4 linked regions of the Arabidopsis thaliana genome follow. The protein of the gene in region 3 interacts with the protein of the main gene of each other region in a pairwise test. Each region holds a gene or a part of one and is shown on either strand. Other genes may lie near its edges. The genes, in order: GATA4, ZFP5, ESE3 and MAF1.

Region 1 (5,421 bases), on a different chromosome or scaffold from region 3:
CGGACTCTCAAGTATGAGTCATATAGTAAACGAATAAACGATATTCAGAAATGTTGCGACTATTATAGGAAAATATATCACGTCATCTTACGATTACGATTACATTTGTTTGTAGTAACTAAAAACCTAGTATATATAAAATCTTTCAAAGCCAATTCTCGCTTTTTTGTTTTTGTTTTTCTATTACCTTCTTCATGGCTTCGTCTTCTTTTTTTTCTTTTCTTTTTCCACAACTTCGTCTTCTTTTATCTTGTACTTTAACTACAACAAATCTTCTTTATCTTCGAGGAACGTGAAGATGAGAACGGTCCCCACATGCAGCCACGTGGATTTACCGATTAGTCTGTATTTTTCTCTTGTAATACTTTTACGTAGATATTATAAAAATATTTTCAGCTTCAGAACTTTTATGGATAGGCCAATAATTATTATTGTCGGCTTCGTATCATAAATCACTAATTTATAAGCCAAACAAAACTCTACTATAGAAAGAACGTTCATAGGACTATCATAAGAAGAAGTGGATTTGTTGCTTTTGGACTAGCATCATTCTTAAGGTTTATGTTAGCTTGCTAATGTTCTTAGATTTGGATTTCGAGCTTTCTTGATATCGGCTTGAACTTTATGCTTTGTATTTTTAGTGTATCTTGATTCCATTTTAGTTTCCGGAGAATTCACTGTTTCTTCCGGCTTAAGCCAAACAAAACTCTACTATAGAAAGAACGTTCATAGGACTATCATAAGAAGAAGTGGATTTGTTGCTTTTGGACTAGCATCATTCTTAAGGTTTATGTTAGCTTGCTAATGTTCTTAGATTTGGATTTCGAGCTTTCTTGATATCGGCTTGAACTTTATGCTTTGTATTTTTAGTGTATCTTGATTCCATTTTAGTTTCCGGAGAATTCACTGTTTCTTCCGGCTTATGACTTTGGGGACTTTTAGTTGTCCGCTGACTTAGTTTCCTTCTTTTGGGCGTTTGGTTTCTTGTAAGGTTCCATCTCAAGTTCTAATAAAATTTCTAGTGACAAAAAAAAGAAAAAAGAAAGAACGTTTGTGGAACAGACCAAACACTTCAACACGTTGCGCCACGCTATTCTGCGAACCTTCAATCAGTTTATATACAATTTTGTTATTTTATGAATTATGATGATATATGTGACTTAATGTATTATTTTGTATTAAATTTTAACAAATTCATGTATTGCAGTTGTAAAAGAGAAAAGAAAAAGGAGTCACTGTTCTCACATCAAAGCCCTGCAGAGATATTTCTGTGTACTCTTTAAAACTGATGCCTCCATCCAAAGTACAATATTGGAATATGTTTTTACTGCATATACACGCAATGTATTTACCTAAATTCTAATTCAATTGTACCTTGTAATTAGATGGTTAAGACATAAGAAATCAGATACATCTGCCCGAATTAGAGCCTTATGATGATTGGCGGTGCCACATAAAAATTGAACACAAGATAGTGATGCATATGAATGTTTATATTTTAGCCGAATATGAACACAATGTTCGCAACAATTGGTTCCCCATTCTTTATATCATATGCATGTGCCGTGCGTGTTTGTACATATATGAGTAGTTTCTGTATAGTTGAAAAACTGAATAAATTAATGAAGGAGCAATGCATGAAAGAGACATAAGAAGATAAATGATAGGGAAAAAATATGTATATATAAACCTAAAAAGAGGGCCATAGGAATTTATAGAACCAAAGTGCAATGCACTTCGGATCGTCGGTCGACTCATCTCCTTCATTGTCTCCATCCATTTTCCCATTCCCCACTACATTTTTATAGTTATCTCTTCAATGTTTAAAATAATATGTCAAAACAACTCTTTATCAAAACTAAATTTTCGTTACTTCTGGTAGTAAGGATATTTCTAAACGTTATCACATTAGTTATTAATCAAACCTGTGAAAGACATGCTAGGTTACTGAAGAATGATATTAGATACTTGTGTACACTCTATTCTACAACGATCGAAGCTAGTCCCACTTCTGTGTCTCTTTCTTTTTCTGTAAGTGTGATTGCAAAATGCGAAATATTCATGTAAGCACAAGAAACAAGATAGTTATACATTCGCATCACTTTGTATTAATAAATTGTTGAGCCAATTTTGTTCTCTATTTCCTTGTTTTGGTCATGTTGAAATTCAACTCTATGATTGATTACACATTCCGGAGAATATTATTTTATTTTCTTTGAACAAGAAAACATAAAAAAAAAAAAAAACTCAACGGGATACTAAATGATCCAACTCACAAATTTCAACAAAATTAAGAAAAAAAATCGGAAAACCTTTTTAGGAGATGGCAGAAGAATTTAATTAACAAAAGGGAGAGAGGCTTATTGAAAAAAATAAAATTAGTAACCTTGCATTTATTTAATTTCCCCTTCATTACTTGTTTAAATTAATAAAACTATAGACTATGATCTATAATGAGTTTATTGCAAATAAGGCATTTGTCTTAGATATATATTTTATTTTAGGCACTTTTGAAATGATCTTTAGATTTAGGCACTTCTTTCCTGGGGAAAGTCGTTTTTACCCTTACAGAGAGATGATGTTGTTCTTTCTTTGTTGATGAACTTTTACGTTTTACACTAGAAATCAAAAATACTTGCGACCAACACCAACAACTTTGGAGTCATTGATTACAGAGTGATGTCAGCGACGATTGGAAATTCAGACGACTAACAATCGGTCCTCATGAGATGTGAATGCGATCTAGATTTTTAACATCCCACATTTTGAGATCTGGAAAAAAAAAACAAGAAACAAAAAAGTCCCACGATTTAGTATTACGATTTGCACGTTTTTTTGTTCAGTGATTTTTGTGCAGGTTAAGGAATTCAAGAAGTGATTGATACTTTGTTGATTGCTCAATTGATGTTCATAATCATGTCTACAAGTACATTGATTTTTGTTCATGTTAATGGTGTTTGATGATAATGAGGATGGTTGTAGTGTTGTGTTATTGTGTGTATGTAAGAATTGCATACTCTATATTTGACGGTTTGGGTTTACAAGTCTAATTCTAGGGTATAGCGTTTACCATTGACGCCGTTCGTTACCCCTCGTTGTCAAAGCCGTGAACCACCACCAAATCTTTGTGCTATCGTCAAAGCTTCATGCCTACCGTCGAAGCTGCAAGTCCACTATCTAAGCCATATATCTTTGGATGTCAAAAGAAACTTAAAATTGAATCAGAGATGGGGATACAATTTTTAGAAGATAAACACATTCTTTTCACCTCATTCTCAACTCCAGTTCATAGTTTAAGGGCAAAAATGTCCGTAACAATAAAAATTGAAGTATTATATGCTTTTACTGTTTAGAGTGTCTGTTTTGAAAGAAATGTTTTCAAAATGCTTGTTTAGAATATAAGCTCGATCTATAATATATGCGTTTTTAAAAAAAGACTAGTATATGCATTATGTAATTCATGGTTAATTAATCCTCTGGTAAGTAAATTAAATAGCACATGCATGTTCAAAGAAAAATGTAGACAAATATATTAAAGTGGATAAATAAATAGAAAAAAAGGGAGTGGTCAGGTCAGTCTCGGTGCATGCTAACTCTATGCACGTTCTCATCTTCGTCTCTTTCCTCACTTACACTAATTCTCTCTCTCTATATTAAACCTCTGAACCAGTGACCACATACATACTCAGTAAGCGAGTCCGAGTCAACAATGGACGTCTACGGCATGTCTTCACCGGACTTGCTTCGTATCGACGACCTTCTCGATTTCTCCAACGACGAAATCTTCTCTTCCTCTTCCACCGTCACTTCCTCCGCCGCTTCCTCCGCCGCTTCTTCCGAAAACCCTTTCAGCTTTCCTTCTTCCACCTACACTTCTCCTACTCTCCTCACCGACTTCACTCACGATCTCTGCGTTCCCGTACGTTTTCAAATTTCAATTTACCCTAATTTTGATTTTGATTTTGAATTTCTAAGTTCTGATTTTGAGTTTTGCAGAGTGACGACGCAGCTCATCTCGAATGGTTATCGCGATTCGTTGACGATTCATTCTCCGATTTCCCAGCAAATCCTTTAACCATGACCGTTAGACCCGAGATTTCATTCACCGGAAAACCTAGAAGTCGCCGATCAAGAGCACCAGCACCTTCCGTAGCTGGAACTTGGGCTCCGATGTCTGAATCAGAGCTTTGTCACTCCGTCGCTAAACCTAAACCGAAGAAAGTCTACAACGCTGAATCGGTTACGGCGGATGGAGCGAGGCGGTGCACGCACTGTGCCTCGGAGAAAACGCCACAGTGGAGAACTGGACCGCTTGGACCTAAAACACTTTGTAACGCTTGTGGAGTTCGTTACAAATCAGGGAGGCTTGTACCGGAATACAGACCGGCGTCGAGTCCGACGTTTGTATTGACTCAGCATTCGAACTCTCATCGGAAAGTTATGGAGCTCCGGCGACAGAAGGAACAACAAGAATCTTGCGTTCGAATTCCGCCGTTTCAGCCGCAGTAAATTTGGGGGTTTTCTTTTCAAGGGTTTTTGTGATTTGGTGACGTGTCGTAATCTTAACGGTGATGATCACGTGACCGACGGGAGGGGTTAAGGACTTAATTATCAGTATTAGTTTAAAGTTTGCAAATCTCTGCTAATTAATTTGTTGGTAATTTCTATTGATTTTTTTCTTGCTTTTGTTTATTGGTCTCACGGCTCTCCTTAAAGTTATATCATTAAATGATTTCATTGGCGGCATTTAATTTTCCTCTTTTCAGATATAAAAGCTTCTCAACCACCATGGACTCTGCTTTTTGTGACTTATGATGTTATATCACACATGACAATGCTGGTTAATCTTCATACATACATCATACATGTTACATGCTTGAGAATTTGAGTTTTTGGCATTTCACGAGGCAATTCAGTTTACTACTTTCTTAAAAAATAGTAACCTAAGCCATACCAAACCTAACTCTCTCTGGTTTAGGCTATTCAAATCTAACAATTTTTCGCTTTATTCCATCTGAACCAAAAATTACCAATACTCTTATACAAAGTGCTTAAACCTCTTATAAATAAACTAAACTGGTTAGGCGGTAACACCGAAACAGAACAAACAAATGATCTGAAAATTGAACCATAATGTGGTGTATAGTGTCACCGTTATTCAAATCCAGAACCCCGACAGACCGAATCCTAATAGAAACCAAAGCAAGGTCTTAACATTAAGATATCGAACCAGAAATACCATACAAAACTAATCTAATTTGGTTAATTTTCCGCTTAAACTATCAACTAAACCAAGCCAAGAAAAAAGAGGATCAAATATATGTATAAAGAAAGACAAAAATTCAAATATCAAGAAACTGCAAAAATGTTGAGGTCAATTGAGACTACTCAAGAAAACAACAACAAAACTCAAAACATGAA
Region 2 (5,491 bases), on a different chromosome or scaffold from region 3:
AAAATGGTTAGTAAATTCAACCTGTTTTACATAAAATAAAATAATAAAATCTAGTCCTACTTAAATTTCTCAATTCATCTCTAATACAATCTACATGCATGTGCAAGTTTTTGTTTTTCACTTGCACATGTATACCCGTGTTTGGAACTCTCAATAAATCTTTTTACAAGAAGAAATCTATATATACGTAAATAACTAAATATGTTGTATACAATGTCTCTGTTATGAGAAAAATAGAATTGGTTAATTAGTATTCTTTCTATGTCTCAATGCATGTATTATTATATGTGATACGTACTTCGGTACCTGGCACAGCCCATGATCATATGATATAACTTTCCTTTAAAAGAGACAAATACGACAGCTAACCCTTTTTGGTCAAGACTATAGTTAAAACTTAAACATGGTCAAGTTGCATAAGTTTTACGGACACCGTATACTACTAACTAACGTTTCAGAATGGTTTTTGAATTAGTGTAAAGTTGTTTGATACTTCGATGGCAATATAATATATACAAATATATATGTAACAATTAATATAGAAGGTGAGGTTGATATATATAATTGGTGTATATATATATATATAAGTTCAGTATATCAAATATTATAGAAACCAACCCACCCACCCACCTAGTAGCCACCATAAAGAAACTTTCAGAAAATCATAATTAGCTAAAATTATTCCACATGCTATTGGATAAATAAAAGATTATCGTTGACAGCATACTTATTTGGAATTCTTCTTTCCCTCGATTGATATAATATTACAATTTCTTACTTCAAAATTTTAAATAAAGGACCTGAGCGAGAGGAAAGAGGCTTTGATTGCATGAGACACCTATTGGTGGCAAGAAAGTCTACCAATCAGAGATCTTAGGTTGTACGAGTGAATATAATTATAACACCTAATAAGGATTAATTATTGTTATTTCACTTAATTGTCTTGATCTATCTTTTAAGTTACAGAGCAGTGGGGTCCTTAATTGGAACAACTGTCCAAACCAAATGCCATTTCATTAGACTTATTTGTATTAAAATAAGATTATCCCATGACTTGATTCACCTGAAAATAGAATAATCTATACCTTTCTTTAATATCAGTTTTCTTTCTGTATAAAATATTGTCTTCTCATGCTTTATGAAGATTTGCCCAAGATCTTGTTTTGAAGATTAGACTTATGAATATAATTTTTATTTGTTAAATAGTATAGATGCTTGCATCATTGCCCACTTCTTGTATTCCTTCATTTGGCAACTAACTATTCTCCCTGTTTAATGTAATAAGTAATTAACATTCATTAAACATGGTCAAGATAGGCTTTTTCTTTCTTTTTCACAGTAATTAGACAAATAAGATTTGGTTTAGGTGGAAGACATTGAGATAAATTACAAGAAAGCTTCAATTCATGCTCCATCATCAATTCTCTCTGCGAGCAACTTTAATTGATGGGAAATTTCAAAAATCTACAATGATAATTACATAAAAACACATCAATAAAAAGAATATCCAGTAGACTATTAACTTTGTTAGAGAACAAGGGACGACGATTCGTTTGATTTCGTTCTTGTTGCAATATGCTCTTGAGTGAACGTTTTGATACAAAATGTCATCTGCTCGCTTAAATTTATGATGGATATATGCGTTATTCAAATACATAGTGAAATTTAATATCATTATGGGATCAAAATATTATACTTAACCTTCCATGTTGATTATATTTTTTGGCCTAAGTTGGTTAGCCTTATTTCTTCATATCTTTCTTTGACTTTTGATATTAGATCAATAATATGATATTAACATCTTAATGTTCTCTTTAAGCTTAGAATATAACTTTTGTATTAATTGTCACAAGTGGTGTGATCGCTGCATGCCTTTTCAAATATATTTATTTATTCATCATATCTCAACTTAATCTAACTATTTTATTCACGCACTAAACAGAAAGTATTTTTCCACAATATTTAAAATAAATTAAATTTGATCAATTTTAAGTAAATGTAGATATAATAGTATAATACATAAGATAAAAGATAAAACAAGTTGACAAGTTAAGTCTTTATATATAGTATTTAAAAGATTTCTCTAACCCGTTTTATCATTTTGCCCTTTTTCTTTCCCATATATGCATATGCGCGTGGTATCCACATATATCTCTATAAAACCTATTACATGTTAGTGTAATATTTATTGTACCTATCAAGGTTTATTTTCCAAGATCATTTCTCGTCACACCTTAGATTCAAACAACTAATTTTATTATAAACCCTAAAATACTATAACTTGATGCTGTTCATGACTAATATAAAAAACCCTTCATACAATATAAAATTTCTTTAGACATACAATATATTATACTATTACAGATGCAATGCATCATTAGTTACAAACTATTAAACTAAATATCCCCCGTCTCTCTCTTGCTATATAAAGAAGATCATTTACACATCTCCTTAAGCAAATTAAACCCATCGATAAACACATACGTTCACACATATATGTCTATAAATCCGACAATGTCTCGTACTGGCGAAAGTTCTTCAGGTTCGTCCTCCGACAAGACGATAAAGCTATTCGGCTTCGAACTCATCAGCGGCAGTCGTACGCCGGAAATCACGACGGCGGAAAGCGTGAGCTCGTCCACAAACACGACGTCGTTAACAGTGATGAAAAGACACGAGTGCCAATACTGCGGTAAAGAGTTTGCAAATTCTCAAGCCTTAGGAGGTCACCAAAACGCTCACAAGAAGGAGAGGTTGAAGAAGAAGAGGCTTCAGCTTCAAGCTCGGCGAGCCAGCATCGGCTATTATCTCACCAACCACCAACAACCCATAACGACGTCATTTCAGAGACAATACAAAACGCCGTCGTATTGTGCATTCTCCTCCATGCACGTGAATAATGATCAGATGGGTGTGTACAACGAAGATTGGTCGTCGAGGTCGTCGCAGATTAACTTCGGTAATAATGACACGTGCCAAGATCTTAATGAACAAAGCGGTGAGATGGGTAAGCTGTACGGTGTTCGACCGAACATGATTCAGTTCCAGAGAGATCTGAGTTCTCGTTCTGATCAGATGAGAAGTATTAACTCGCTGGATCTTCATCTAGGTTTTGCCGGAGATGCGGCATAACAAATTAAAGAGAGATATATGATTAAGATTATATGTACTATAGTGGCGTATTTCATTGGGATCATGAAGGGGAAAAAACGAGACATATAGTATTCTTGATGCAATTTGAGTTTTGTAATTTATTTAGGTTTATGTATGTTTTCGAAGAAAAAAATAATTCCAAGTGATGTTGTGGAATTATTCAAAAAAAGAAAAAAAACTTTATTAGATGGCTTTACTAGAAAATTCTCGATCATCATCGTCATCCGATACAAAATAAAGTCAGGTAGAGGATCGAGCATTTATAAATTATGGAATAACAATAAATCGTACTATGGAAGCAAATCATTTTCTTGTTCCTTAGTTTGCTGACCGTACATATACTAGTTGACAAGGTTAATCCATAAATCTCTTTGTATCATTGTGTGCTGTGTTTTTTTTTTTTTTTTTTTAATACTGTGTGCCGTGTTGGTGCATTTGCGTAATTGATGGAGGCAACATTTTGAACATAATCACTTTCTTGTTGCTTAATTAGTGTATATGGCCATGGGTACGTTCTTCCTATTGGTACATATGCATGTATTTATATTACAAGGTGAGTATTCGTTACAAGTTGTGTACATATGTTCTTACACGTGCAATTCGTACACGCCTCAATTTGATTTATAGTCAAATTTCAAAAAATTTGTTAGAAATTTCATCTCAAAAGTTATAATATGATCTAACGTGAGACTAAAAAACATATGTGAATTTGAATGATATAAACTTGATGTTTTTTTTTAATAACCTATATACTTATTGTAGGTACAATCCAACGATTTTATGAATGTTGTATTTTTTTTGTATACACTGTAAAGACGATTTTATGTCATGGCTATTAATATAAGAATATACATTTTAAAAATAAGATTTTAAACTGATGTCTCTTACCAATCTCAAGACGAGTACTTGTGATTCTTCGGAGACAATGAGAAGAGTTTGTAAATTCTGAATACTCCTTAAACGAACAGAATAAGTGAATTTAGTGGTGGATATAACTAGCTTGACTTTAGATCTTATTCTTTCAAATAGATTTGGTGTAAGATTGATTCGACATTTCCCATTAAATCTCCAAACAAATATGTGCATCAATTCGTAACTGTACAGCTTTAAAAATACATATAATAAATGGAGTCGGCAGGTTTGTATATTAAATTAATTTGCGTGATTGGAATGATAAGCTTAAGATCCATCATCCAGTGTTGGAGGTCCCTTTAATTTTTGTCTACACATGTCACTTCCGACACCAACGGAACTCCATTTGCTTATGTGTGTATTGGATGCTTATCCCATTTAATTAAAAAAAAAAATGTTTTTAAAAGGTATTATTCCTTTATTGTCCAATTCGTATGTTTCCTAATTTTGGTAAATATGTTTTTGTTAAGTTTGAAACATCGTTCCTTGCATTACGTATGAGTAAATCATACACGAGCGTATGACCGAGTTGGAATTTACGTAATGACAGATAAATTTGTACATTTACGACATATAAAAATATGAAATCAACCTACATATCTCTTTTTTCCTTTACTATTCTGAAAATTCTAGGTTTTTGACGGAAGAAGTGAAGGCTATAATCACAGAATGGAGGACTCTGTCACGCATTGTGTTCTAGTATGCCATATTTAACACTTGTCAATATGGCTTCGAAAACCGATAATTTTCCCTAACTAAAAATAAAATAAATCTAAGTGGCCACCTAAATGTGTTTAGTTATTATCATACATGCATGCAACATTTTATCATGGCATGTGAAATGTAATCATAATGGAGGATAGACTGCTTACTACTTAAAACAATAAACCACTAATTATCAGTTTTGAAATGATTTATTTTTGTTTAAAGAAGAGATAATGTTATATAATGTTGTGGGAGACAAAGATAGATCCAAGCCAGGTAAGGTTAGCTTGTTGATCTAAATTGATTAAAGCATTTGTTGAACAAGACTTCGCCATCTGTACCACCCATTCTTCTTTCAATTATGGATTATAATTTAGTAAATATCATATATATGCCTCCATTATAACTTTTATTATTGACATTATTGCTTTCTTAAAAGCAAGTTTATTTATCAAAAACTATTGATTGGTCATTGTGAAACGTTATATTTGACCGTCAATAAAACTATACATAACGCAATACATACATTATTATATCAGGTAAAGACTAAGTTATATTAGTATCTTATAAAATGACAATAACATGTTCTACGTAAAAAAAAAGGACAAGGATTATCGGTTACTTTAATAGTTTGAATGATTCTTGATCTAATAATTAAAACATTGGCGTTAGATGTAAGTTTTTGAAATTTAAATTGATTTTAAATGAATCAGTTGATCTA
Region 3 (4,747 bases):
CGAGAAAGTATATATTATATGAGTGTGATTATTTAAAATAATTTTTAAAATAGATTGATTTTGGTATATATAGTTAATTTACAGCTGAATGAAAGAAAAGGACATGAATCACAATCAAAACCATTTCATCACCCATGTTTATCTATGTCGTTTTGGGTCCCATGTCACGCGTTTACGACCTAGGCCCTACTCATATTTATTCATAATTCTTGTCTGATTTTCCCATAACTTTGTATGTAGTCCCAAAACACTAATTGTTAAATGTTTTCCTTTTTTATGGTTAAAGATAATTGTATATATTCGAGTTTCTCATTATCTCCAAGTCGACAAAAAAAAAAAAACAATTAAGATAAGTTATATAATATGAGTCACCAAACATATGATGAGCCTCTATGCTATAAAGACAAACAATCTAGACATAATTAACGAATGATCTAGTTGTTAAATTCATATTATAAGAGTTGCAAAACCGTAGCACATTTTGTGTGTGTAAATCTGACAAATTTGCTTCAATTACAATTTATAAGGATGATACCTTGTTTAATCTATTTTTTAATGAACATTGTGTATTTATTTTGTTGTTGTTCATTGCCATGCATTTGGGAGATAGATATTGAATACTTTTTCTCTTTCAGAGGTATGGTACTAGTTGAAACTTGGAAGATTAGTCATCACTACTCACACGTGCCAAAATAGTAGCAAAGAGACAAAATCCTCAATGCAACTTAAAATAAAAACAGTCTTTGTTATAGCTAGCTAGCTTCTCACCCTCACATGCTTTGCTATATTGTTTGATCGACCAATACAATTAAACCACGTATGAAACAAAGAATAGTTACCTAAGTAAAAGCGAATATGTTAGACATATCAAAATTATTTTTGTTTAATTAAAATTACAGTTGTAGTAATGTTGTTATTTCAAAGGTACATATATATTTCCATTATGTAACTTGCTGATATTAGCATTCAGTACCATCCTTCTTTTACTACACCACCGAGAGAGATAAGTTACTTTCTTTTTTTTCGTTTTCTTATGGACATGGATGCAAATATACAGACAAAAAAAAGCATATGTTGAATAATTATTAGGGTTAAGAATGATTATTAGTAGGGTGAAAATGATCAATTATTTGATAAAAAGTTAATGACCTTCTCTAGTTGTTTTTCTTGTCGTCATAATTGCGGTCTAGGATTCTTTCATCAATTTGATACTGGATTGAACTAATAATATTTGGCACTTGTTATTTTGATGTATCCATTCTACCTACACACTCTTTTGCCCAACATATTCTTCTATTACCTCTTATTCCAATTATAATTGACTCTAAAAGGATATAGTCTCAATTGGAGATTATTTTTTTTTTAAATATGCGTGCGACTGAATATGATCGACATAACCTTTACTTTTATTTGATGAAACTTTGTCGAACAAAAGATAAATTGGCAAACAAAAACATCCATATATAAACCCAAATAAGAAGTGGTTACTATGTGACATTCCCTATACAATTAACATATACTACTATCTAAAAATTGTAGATAAGTTTATGCAATATTATACTAATTCCCTCTCCAAGTTTCAGTAATGGGCATAATCACATATTTATTAATTATTAAACCTATGTTTTTAATTGAAAAATAATGTATTAGAGTTTTTTTTTTAATAGGTCGCAGACTCGTAGGTAAACTGTACACTCAGAAATCATGGGTATGATGACAATACATTAAGGTTTGTTTCAATAATAACAATACAAAATAATATTAAAGAAGGGAAAAGAGAAGATGATAATCGAAGATGGTTTTGGGTGTTTGATTGAGTCATTATCAAAGGCTCACATGGGTGAAGAATGGTGATGAAAGAGTCTCGCTAGTTATCAAACTATATATTTTCCAATTATTTATCGTTATTATTAATTAGTTGGGGAAAAATTTGGCAGTATCTATGATATAGAGACATGTTGTGATGATCAAACCCATGTGAAAATAGGTACAGTGGGTTTGAAGTTTCACCGCAGCCAAATCTCTTTGGATCCAACTTGTTCACAATGGGAAAATTAAAATAATTGATAAATATATATGCTATATACGTAGGGTTGTTATTATATTTAGAGCTATTTATTAGTTTTATCTTAAAAATACCCCATAACTTAGGATATTATAACTATAATTGTCTAAGTATAATATGTGTAACTTGGGACAAAAGGAAAAGAAAAAGGTTTGGATTAAATTATCTTAGGTTTGATTTCTAAACCGTTTTAATTAATTTATATTTGTTGATAAAAAATTAGCTTTTGTTACAGAAATAAATTCATATGAAACTATTGAACATTTGTAATTTTGTATTCTAACAAAAACTGTGATAAGTTTGTTAATTCATAATTTAAATTCTATTTTAACTTTTAGATAAATTACGATAATACTTTCCAAAAAATATCTCTAAATAAAAAAAACACTTTTCCGACAGTTTAGCATGTAGTTTCGAAGCTTTCAATTTTCACTATAATATGTGACAGAATTAGATAATCCATTTGCCCATGTCGCAGCAACTTCGAATACAACAAATGAAGTAAATTTAAGAATACTTTAAGTTAAATAAATTAATATAACTCTCTCTCTCACATCAAACAAAATCCATGAGATTTTCTGAGTCGTATTGGTAATGGTGTGGGTCCAATTTAGGACCAAATTGATTGCCAGTTTATTGCCAAAGAAAATTTTAACACAAAAACATTTCTCTCTCTCATGAAGCTAAAGCCAACACTACTTATATAGCTACCCTTCACTCTTCCAAAAACGCTCCTTCACTCTCATCATTCTTTCTTCTTTCAAAACATTTCCACAAACACACCAAACTCACCTGAAACCCTATTTCCATTTACCATTCACACTAATGGCACGACCACAACAACGCTTTCGAGGCGTTAGACAGAGGCATTGGGGCTCTTGGGTCTCCGAAATTCGTCACCCTCTCTTGTAAAAACTCTCCCTCATCATCCTCTCAAATTACGAAATTACCCTCGGTCGCTTTTTATTTGAGTAATGCTAAACTTTTTTGTTTTTTTTTTGTTTTTTTTAGGAAAACAAGAATCTGGCTAGGGACGTTTGAGACAGCGGAGGATGCAGCAAGGGCCTACGACGAGGCGGCTAGGCTAATGTGTGGCCCGAGAGCTCGTACTAATTTCCCATACAACCCTAATGCCATTCCTACTTCCTCTTCCAAGCTTCTATCAGCAACTCTTACCGCTAAACTCCACAAATGCTACATGGCTTCTCTTCAAATGACCAAGCAAACGCAAACACAAACGCAAACGCAGACCGCAAGATCACAATCCGCGGACAGTGACGGTGTGACGGCTAACGAAAGTCATTTGAACAGAGGAGTAACGGAGACGACAGAGATCAAGTGGGAAGATGGAAATGCGAATATGCAACAGAATTTTAGGCCATTGGAGGAAGATCATATCGAGCAAATGATTGAGGAGCTGCTTCACTACGGTTCCATTGAGCTTTGCTCTGTTTTACCAACTCAGACGCTGTGAGAAATGGCCTTGTCGTTTTAGCGTATTCTTTTCATTTTTATTTTTGTTTCCACAAAAACGGCGTCGTAAGTGATGAGAGTAGTAGTGAGAGAAGGCTAATTTCAAGACATTTTGATCTGAATTGGCCTCTTTTGAAACACTGATTCTAGTTTCTATAAGAGCAATCGATCATATGCTATGTTATGTATAGTATTATAAAAAAATGTTATTTTCTGATTTTTCTCCATGTAAACCAATTGAACACTTGAAACCAAAAACTAAAAATTACACATGTGTTCGTGTGTGAAAAAGTGGGAATTTAATGTAGTGAAAAGATACAACAATGAGAAGAAAGATATCTAAAGTAGTGAAGAGAGATGAGAGTTTGAATATTTTGAGTTAGCTTTTGGTTTTGTTCCATGCATGTTCTAATTTTTCAACGGTGGGCCTTCATTTTTTTATTTTTATTTTTGGTAATTTGGGATTGCTGCTAAGTAGAAAAAGAGTGTCCCTAGCTGTGGCTTGACGACCATAAAATCCAACTTTTTAATTAGAGGGATTTGTGTTTTCTAGCACCTTATATTAAAATAGAAAAAATAATTTAGCTACATAAAATAGGTGTTTGACTGCAATTACTCTGTTTCCTTAGAACACTCTGTTCTTCGAACAGTCCAAACCTATTATTTATTTGTTTTGTTTGTAATGCGAATAAAAGGAAACTAGTGTTTTCCGACCACTACTTTAACTTTTGTAACAAAATATGATTTACATTTACTACCTTAAGGTTGAATACGAAAATAAAAATATTCTCTAGCAAAGAATGGAAAACATAACATGAGCAGGCTTTAATATATCCTTGACGATCGGTTGATTCTTCTTGCATACATATACGCGATAATATAATATCAGTTGTTAGCAACAAGCCAAAATAGCTAAATAATGGCAATTCAATATGGTTAAAGCTCGTTGCGATATAACCAGTACACATGCAATGCATCTAAATTGCAGCAGACAAATGATTTGACGTTAGGAATTATTTGGATTTAAAGATTTTCTTGCCACCTTAATTATTTGCATGCAATAGATGATTTATTTTTCGACACAATAAATTTGATAATCCTTATAGGTTTTTTTCTTTCTTAAACAACAAATCTGATCATTCTCAAATTAACTTGCTATATTACTCAAATTACAAGCACAAAATTGCATGACCACTTATATTTGATAAG
Region 4 (8,481 bases), on a different chromosome or scaffold from region 3:
TTTGCTGCACAATAGCCGCGGATAAGGCATCGTAGCATCCAGGCATAAGCACAATGCCTTGTTCTTCAATCAGGCGATGAAAACGTGTTTGGATTCTCGCTGTCGGATTCACCAATCTCGCCGCGCGTGGGTTCCGTCGGAATGTTGGTGAAGCTGTAAGGTTTAAGCTGCTACAACAGAGTGAAGTTGTTTTGACAGCCATTAACATCGACATTCTTCGAAGCCTCGAACAAGTTTTTTCTTCTCTCTAATCGAGTTAGACTCTGACCCACACGCTTGGGATTTTAATAGAGAGCACGTGGTTATTATATCTCGGTCTTATCTTATGGTAACAGTATCTCAAAGACTCAAACCACAAGGTATTGTGAAAATGTTAGAGGCAATCTAACAATAAATGTATAATTTGGTTAGCTTAAGCTCATCATAGAAATGGGCCTTTATGTCACCAAACCTATTTCACAACATAACACAAGAGCCCACAAAACAACGACTCCTTTCTCCACCAGAACAAGCACGACAAAGGCAAGAGAGTTGCAAAAGACCTATAAGATGATAACAATCGAAAAGATGTAAATTTTGAGAAAAATCAAAATAAACAAGAAAGATTTCATTGTTTTTCACTTTTTCTCCATTTCTACTTTGATTTTACATACTCTATGGGCCAACCAATTTCCAACCTAATGCTTGATAAAAAATGATTCGGTTTTACTATCTCAACAAATTGGGCCTACAACATCCAATTTCATGTAGTGACTTGTTTTTGCCTTTTTCACATCTCAACAAATTGGGTCGTTTGTATTTAAGAAATTGTTACAGCTTTTTAGACTGAATTTTACTTTATGGCTTTATGCTCTCTTTTTCCGTTTTGATTAAGGGTGAATATGTAAACTGTTGATACCATCTGATTTTTTTTATTTTTTATTTTTCTTGTGTGCAACTATACCATCTGAATTCAATTGACATTTTAGCCAAATAAAAAAGATTGGTCCACTTGGATGGCTGTAAAAAAGTTTAGTGGAAGTATTTATAGGGCTTGTTGGCAATCTTCACCAACGGCTATAATGTTGATCTTTTTAAAATTAAACTTACCGTTCGACTGTCTTCTCAACGATTTGACAATTAGCCGTTAGATTAGTATTACTGATTTATTATTAACAAACCCATTTCTTTTCTTATTTTTGAATAAGCTAAATCAGGCCAATAAAAGGGACAAGTAGAGATGGGCTATTTCTTTTTTTCTCTTTTTTTTTTTCTTATGTAGTAGAGAAAAGCCTTTATTCTTAGAGCTATCATTTACCACCCATTAACCAGAAGCTGAGAAATGAAGCAAGCCGAAACGAATTTGTAGTTTTGGACGGTGAAATTATATCGGGCCTTTAATGGGCATGTGAATAGAGTTGAGAGTCTTTTTGCCCCAAATAATCGTTTAAGGGAGTATTGGCTCGTTGGTTTAATATTGGGCCGAAACGAGATTGGGAAGAAGAACAATGTCGGTTTAATCCGGTTAGGGTCGTGGGCTGATTCTGGTTCACCTTTATAGCGTAAGCGAACAAACATTGAAAATGGGGAAGCCAAATTAGTTACCATCCCTAACTCAGTTTTGAGACGTAGTATGAATGAGCCACGGCAGAACCTACGACCTAACTCGATAAAGTAATGGTTACTCTTGGAGACGGAAGAAAGCACAAAGATTTTGATAAGGCTTTCTAGTTGGTGAAATGGTCAAAATCGCTCGGAGAGCCATCATAGGAGCGGGGAGGTGCTATCTGAATATCCCAATGCATCAAGACAAGATGGATTCAGAAAACAAAGAAATTAAACAAACATTTTAAAATATGCTCTTAGTTTTAGATAATATAATGTTTTCAATACCAATTATCTTACACTGATAGTGGTCAAGTTACTAATCACTTTTAATAAATTGGTGATAGTCAAACGTATTGAAAATTATCGATTTAAAAATATTTGAATTCAAAACCATTTTAGTGAAAGTTTGCATTGTAGTTTTGATTATCCGATCAATCTTTAATATAATTACGTCAATAATAACTGAAATCCTTGAATTAACCGTTACCCGATTCATAAGCACTACTTTCCGATCAAAACCAATGAGATAAAATAACTTTTAAACCCTCCAAATAAAAAGAGAAAACCTTAAAAACCAATTTCTGTTCGGTGGGGATGATGATCGGACTCGGACCGGTCTAACCGACTGGATTAAAAAGTCTTTAACAACGACAAGCTTAAAAATTTGCCTCTTAGTGGCTTCAAAACGCAATCGTTTCGCTTAATACTATTATTTTCTCTATCTCGTTTAACCAAAAAAAAAAACGAGTTGGAGGAAAAAAAAAACCAAGAAAAAAGAATAAAAAGCAAAAAGCATTGAGCGTCTCCGGAGATTAGGATTAAATTAGGGCATAACCCTTATCGGAGATTTGAAGCCATGGGAAGAAGAAAAATCGAGATCAAGCGAATCGAGAACAAAAGCAGTCGACAAGTCACTTTCTCCAAACGACGCAATGGTCTCATCGACAAAGCTCGACAACTTTCGATTCTCTGTGAATCCTCCGTCGCTGTTGTCGTCGTATCTGCCTCCGGAAAACTCTATGACTCTTCCTCCGGTGACGAGTAAGAAGATACTTTCCTTTTCTGGGTCTCACTCGATTTTTGTGCTTTTTTACTTTGTTTAATTACTTTCTCCATATAGAAGCTTCAAATCTAGGGCTTTTTGATTCCATCAAATCAACTGAGATTTTCTCCTTGTTTTCTGTATGAAGATAGCAGATGCGTAAGCTTTAACCTAATTTAAGACTAAACATTTTGATCGCCAAGATATGTTCTTGATGTTCGTTTCGTGTTTTTTTTTTCGTGTTTTTTTTTTTTTCATTTTAAAATCATTTTTATCTCTTTTTTTACCTTCATTTGTGACGAAATTTAATATTGCATGTTATTCAAGAAACTTTTCTACACGTGGTGATTCGTTCTTGATGTTGTTTAAGTAATCTTTGTATTGCTAGTTCCATCTGTTGTTCACTTTGAAGCTTCGTTTTTTCATATAAGAAACAATATGTTTAGATTGTTCAAATTTTGAGATTTGGTAATTATATTCAATATTGCAATGCACTTCAAGTAGTTTTGTTGAGAGATTATTTGGGGTTAGTGGTAACATTAATCGAATATCTTTGGTTCAAATTGGTTAACACATTGTACTTTATGTTGATCCAAAATGTATTGTAGATCTTTTCTTTTGTAATTCTCTTTAAGGAATAAGGTTTATCTAGTTGATTTTGATGGTTTATTGTAGTGCTGGGATAAGTTTCCACATTGATACTCGCCACACATTCTTCATTACTTAACTAATTGGATATCGATTTTAACCCTTTTAATCGTAATTTGTTGTGTGTTTATGACACCATACAAGATACATTATGTCTTACTGAGTGACTCTTTGTTGCTCTCTAAGATGTTGTAGTTTGGATTTCTTTGCTAAAGAAACTCAAACTATAACTGATTTTACTGCTACCATATATATGTCAGTGGCCTAGTAGGTTCATTAAGTAGAAATCGGTCGCCAATTTTACTAATTGGGAGAAACCACTAGACTACAACCAAATGTTCAATGACTTTAATAGTCTTCTGTTATTTGTCGTGGATATTTTTAACCCCATGAACTTTTGTATCTAGAAAAATCTCATCCACTTCTCTTTTAGAATACTTTGAATGCGACTAAAAGTGAGTTTTTTTTTTCTAATAGACCTAAGATAAAATCATCAATGGATAAGTAGGAAATGGAAAGGTAACTCTTGTCAGTATGTGTATATATACAGCTCCTTCTCATTTCCTTGATGTTGACTCCATAAATGCTTGATCATGAAAGCAAATTTGTTAAATTTGTAACCAACAAAATGCACAGACTATAGACGAAGTATTAGGAACCGTATCTATCTGTCTCCATTTTACAATAGTCAAGCTCTAGTTGTAGCTAGTTTCTTTATTTAGTTCTTATACCTTAACAAAGTGGCACTATGCAAAGTGTTTTTAGTTGAGATTAGTCGTCTTATGCGTCTTACTAATTGTTCATTTTTTCTTCTTTTTGTGATTGATGTAAAATTACTAAGTCACAACTTGAGATGTTACTAAAAAGATAAGAACGTGTAATAACTGAAGTGAATTTGAAGCCAGTCTCTATTCATATCATAGCATTAATAGATCATGGACAACACATATATAGGATTAGAGCTGTCATGACCTTCCCGGAAATGCTAAATCAGTTTCTTGGTTTATCCTTTTTGGAGTATCATGATATCATTTAGCCAAAGGTTTTTGGTTTCAGTATTCCGATTCGTTTGACGTTATGTGTGAAAGCGTCAATAACTAAAACTTGGATTGACTAGTCAAAATATAAACTGATTGCATTGAATTCTTGAAAATTTTCCCTTAAAATGAACATGAATTTCATCAAGATTTTGTCTTTTGGAAGGATGTGATTTATAATCTATACAATCATACATTTTGCATGATATTAGTTTTTTGAAGAACCAAAAATAGAGCTTCTTTATAAAACTGATTTAGCCTTGATAAGAAAAAGAAGGTAGATAATCGAACTCATGGGGATGAGTTAAAAATGTGTGCACTTAGTTTCTAAAACCTTTTGAAGTCGAAACAATGACAATATTGGCTGCGAAGTTGATATATAACAGGATCTTAAAGTTGAAATTGTAAATTCAGATTTTAATTTTAGAGCACCAGATGATCAGAGTTTCAGATTTACATTTGAAGTATAAAACATTTTGAACACATATATCTAAAGCAGTAACTTCAAAAATAGGGTAACTAATAGTAACTTACATTGTTTTTTTTAATGCTTTTATACTTACTATCATTTTTATATATAGATGCCTGGTTAAGTAAAGATGATTATCAAAAACTGTTGGTTAGTAACAGAAATTGTTGCAAATGTAACATATTATATAAGCTTTCTTTCACTTTGGTGCATTCTCTCTAAATAATGGCCTCTATTGATGCAGTATCTGATTCTTAGTTTTGAAATGGTTTTTGCATAAATTATTGTTCTAATGCATTTTTGTTTTATCTCCAGCATTTCCAAGATCATTGATCGTTATGAAATACAACATGCTGATGAACTTAGAGCCTTAGTAAGTAATTAGCTAAGAACGTCATTCTAATATTCTTCTGGATGCGGTTTTTGGTGTTATGAAGGATAGAAGCGCTGTTCAAGCCGGAGAAACCTCAATGTTTTGAACTCGTAACACCGAACTTAATTCTCTAGAGTTACAGTTATTGTGTCTACTGGAAAATACAAGAACTTCACAATCTTTCTGACCATTCCTTTTCTTCATGTGCAGGATCTTGAAGAAAAAATTCAGAATTATCTTCCACACAAGGAGTTACTAGAAACAGTCCAAAGGTTAGCAGTACGACACATTTTTCTCCCCTCTTCTTCTGATAAAAAAAATGTTTTTTTTCTTTTGTCTACTTGTGAATACAGCAAGCTTGAAGAACCAAATGTCGATAATGTAAGTGTAGATTCTCTAATTTCTCTGGAGGAACAACTTGAGACTGCTCTGTCCGTAAGTAGAGCTAGGAAGGTATATGTGCTGCTACTAAGTGATTCAACCAATTACTCCACAAAACCTTCTTTTTAGTTAGTTATCCTAGAACAATCTTTTGACATAAATCTTAATGTCTTGTTATAGGCAGAACTGATGATGGAGTATATCGAGTCCCTTAAAGAAAAGGTTAGTGCTTTGGTTTTTATTTTCGATAAAGGCCATATTCTAGGCTATGATGATTCTTGAATTCTATTAACCTGCTGAGTCTACAGATTACTATATATATATATATATATCTTTTGGTCTTGTCTTAGTTCCTGATTTAGTATTGGCTTCATTCAGGTGAAACCCTAATGAGAATTAAAAAAACAAGCAGTTTTAAACTCTTGATCAAATCCAACCTTTCCCTCATAAAGTGTCGAATTTGGATGAGGATGATTTATGTTTCGAGAAGGAAACATGTTTGGAAATAGCTATAGAAGTTGTTAGAAACTAATGACCTTATGATCTTTTCCAAACAGGAGAAATTGCTGAGAGAAGAGAACCAGGTTCTGGCTAGCCAGGTAACAATGACCACAATATCTTCTGCTCTTGAAGCTAATTAATCACTTTATACGTCCCCGTTATAGAGAGATACACATATACACGTACATGAAAACTAAAAGTTGAAGGACTTTGATGGATACTAGACAATTATAGTGAAACCCTAAATATGTGATAAGTGATAACAAAATGCTTTTAAAATCTATCTTTCTTGTTAATTTAGTAGCTGTCAGAGAAGAAAGGTATGTCTCACCGATGAAAGATACTCAAAACCCGGTATTTTTAATTTGTGAAATTTGCAAATAAAAAAAATGCTTTCTACAAGATAGATTAATTTCTTGCAATGTTTAGTAGCTGTAGAAAAAAAAGAAATGTAAGAAAGTTTCTTACAGATGGGAAAGAATACGTTGCTGGCAACAGATGATGAGAGAGGAATGTTTCCGGGAAGTAGCTCCGGCAACAAAATACCGGAGACTCTCCCGCTGCTCAATTAGCCACCATCATCAACGGCTGAGTTTTCACCTTAAACTCAAAGCCTGATTCATAATTAAGAGAATAAATTTGTATATTATAAAAAGCTGTGTAATCTCAAACCTTTTATCTTCCTCTAGTGTGGAATTTAAGGTCAAAAAGAAAACGAGAAAGTATGGATCAGTGTTGTACCTCCTTCGGAGACAAGATCAGAGTTTGTGTGTTTGTGTCTGAATGTACGGATTGGATTTTTAAAGTTGTGCTTTCTTTCTTCAGCGTGAAGAACCCTAGACCTTCTTATTTCTTTTTTTTTTTACTTTTTTTTTTTATAACTTTAATTATTTGATTATTTGTCTTACATTACGTGGCAAAGTTATTTAGTTGCATCTCTTTTAATTTGATCAAAACCATATCAGATATTTTGCTCTTTTTTCCAAGTTTAGTGATTCTGTTTTTGAGAGCTCCAAACTATATAAGATATTTTTCACCTTTTCCAAGTTTTATTATTTGTGTTTTTGAAGAACTCAAAAAAGCCAGCTTTTGAACTCTGTTTCATGTTTTGGTTCTTTCTGATGAATCCAGATCCATACAACCGTATGCCAAACTCACTGCTCGTATGTTGTTTAGTATAATATTACAGGATTCTCAACTTTTTACAAATACACATTTATGTACCGCTCTTTGTGTTCTTAGTCTTGAGAAACACTTGAGTAACTTGTTGAAGATCTGATATATCCAAAAAAGTTCTAAAGTCTAAACAATGCGGAATGAACTAGCTATCCTCTTCAGATCCTTGTAGTGTCTCTTCCATTGAAGACCTATAGAATCAAACATAAGCAGAGCAATTAACTATGTGTACAAACCAAACAAAAGGTGTTTGCTCTGTCTTTAAATCTCTGACTAGAAGAGAGGTTTTGCCTTACCGTTTCCGGTGACACTGAACAAGTAAAGGCGGTTTCCGGCAGCTGTTGCAGTTATCAGTACATGAGGCGGCTCTAGCTCGAATTGGTAATAGAGTCTACCATCGTGTTCTGCAACATTGGAACTTAACACCTTCCCTTCTACGTTTTCTCCAATAACTTCTGGTCCAAACGCGTTAATCACCTTCGCTGGTTGTCCAATATTTTCAATCTTAACATCGTCCCCGAGGTCTGTATAAGTGGAACACACAAATCAATCAATCTACGAGTACAAATAGACAAGATTGCATTGCCTATATAACTCAAAAGAGTAAAGTTGATGAATCTTTAATAGCAGAGACAACTTACTATCTGCAAATCTAAGAACAGGAGCTACAATAACAGACAAACGGCCTTCTTTAGGACTAGCAAATCTCAAGTCAATCTCGGTGCCACCAAGATCAGCGATCGATACAGGTACCTAAATTTGATACAACAATGAAAAGAATCTCAAAGTATGACTAAAAACCATAGAAACGAAGAAACAAGAGCCAAGGGACAAAACCTCATTCCAATCTTGAGGAACCGAAAAGGCGTAAGGGATAATAGGACTCCAACCAACACCATGCCCTCCTGACTTCTCGTCTGGTCTACGGTATGTTCTCCAACCTGTCTGAGCATTACAATTACATTACACCAACAAATTCCCAACTACTATACTGTCATAATACAACTCCAAGAATCAATGTCCAAAGCCTAAAGATTTATGAATCTATGATCCAATAGTAACATTCTCAAGAAGAAGAAAGAGTGTACGAATAAAGCTACAGAGTAAGAGCAAGACAAGAAGAAGAGGAATCAAGAACAGAGTGAAACGAACCTTCTTCATCAGGTTCGGACAGACCAGGAACTCTCCCAGCGAGAAGACCTTGTTTAACGACAGCCAATCCTTCCCTTGGAAATGCTAAAGCCGTCGTCGAGGAGACCAACCCTGA

The links.
Region 1: the proteins of ESE3 (region 3) and GATA4 interact in a two-hybrid assay, tested with the Arabidopsis thaliana proteins (one large-scale study listed by BioGRID).
Region 2: the proteins of ESE3 (region 3) and ZFP5 interact in a two-hybrid assay, tested with the Arabidopsis thaliana proteins (one large-scale study listed by BioGRID).
Region 4: the proteins of ESE3 (region 3) and MAF1 interact in a two-hybrid assay, tested with the Arabidopsis thaliana proteins (one large-scale study listed by BioGRID).

Annotation. Positions count from the first base shown.
Region 1 is NC_003074.8:22,369,639-22,375,059, forward strand, and holds GATA4 (GATA transcription factor 4), read left to right. Parts: upstream 1-3,374; 5' UTR 3,375-3,709; coding exon 3,710-3,919; intron 3,920-3,996; coding exon 3,997-4,509; 3' UTR 4,510-4,916; downstream 4,917-5,421. UniProt on the Arabidopsis thaliana protein: Transcriptional activator that specifically binds 5'-GATA-3' or 5'-GAT-3' motifs within gene promoters. May be involved in the regulation of some light-responsive genes.
Region 2 is NC_003070.9:3,447,238-3,452,728, forward strand, and holds ZFP5 (zinc finger protein 5), read left to right. Parts: upstream 1-2,453; 5' UTR 2,454-2,496; coding exon 2,497-3,132; 3' UTR 3,133-3,989; downstream 3,990-5,491.
Region 3 is NC_003076.8:8,705,799-8,710,545, reverse strand, and holds ESE3 (Integrase-type DNA-binding superfamily protein), read left to right. Parts: upstream 1-2,660; 5' UTR 2,661-2,890; coding exon 2,891-2,973; intron 2,974-3,076; coding exon 3,077-3,539; 3' UTR 3,540-3,801; downstream 3,802-4,747.
Region 4 is NC_003070.9:28,953,236-28,961,716, forward strand, and holds MAF1 (K-box region and MADS-box transcription factor family protein), read left to right. Parts: upstream 1-2,286; 5' UTR 2,287-2,443; coding exon 2,444-2,628; exon of another isoform or gene 2,629-5,075; coding exon of another isoform or gene 5,076-5,098; coding exon 5,099-5,156; intron 5,157-5,220; coding exon of another isoform or gene 5,221-5,266; intron 5,267-5,366; coding exon 5,367-5,609; intron 5,610-5,717; coding exon 5,718-5,759; coding exon of another isoform or gene 5,760-5,819; exon of another isoform or gene 5,820-5,915; coding exon of another isoform or gene 5,916-5,927; exon of another isoform or gene 5,928-6,094; coding exon 6,095-6,136; coding exon of another isoform or gene 6,137-6,178; exon of another isoform or gene 6,179-6,342; coding exon of another isoform or gene 6,343-6,375; exon of another isoform or gene 6,376-6,508; coding exon 6,509-6,610; 3' UTR 6,611-6,876; downstream 6,877-8,481. Other genes in the region: AT1G77060 (Phosphoenolpyruvate carboxylase family protein), read right to left, coding at 1-214; AT1G77090 (thylakoid lumenal protein (Mog1/PsbP/DUF1795-like photosystem II reaction center PsbP family protein)), read right to left, coding at 7,341-7,405, 7,511-7,738, 7,856-7,967, 8,052-8,155, 8,367-8,481. UniProt on the Arabidopsis thaliana protein: Probable transcription factor involved in the negative regulation of flowering time in both long and short days, probably through the photoperiodic and vernalization pathways. Prevents premature flowering.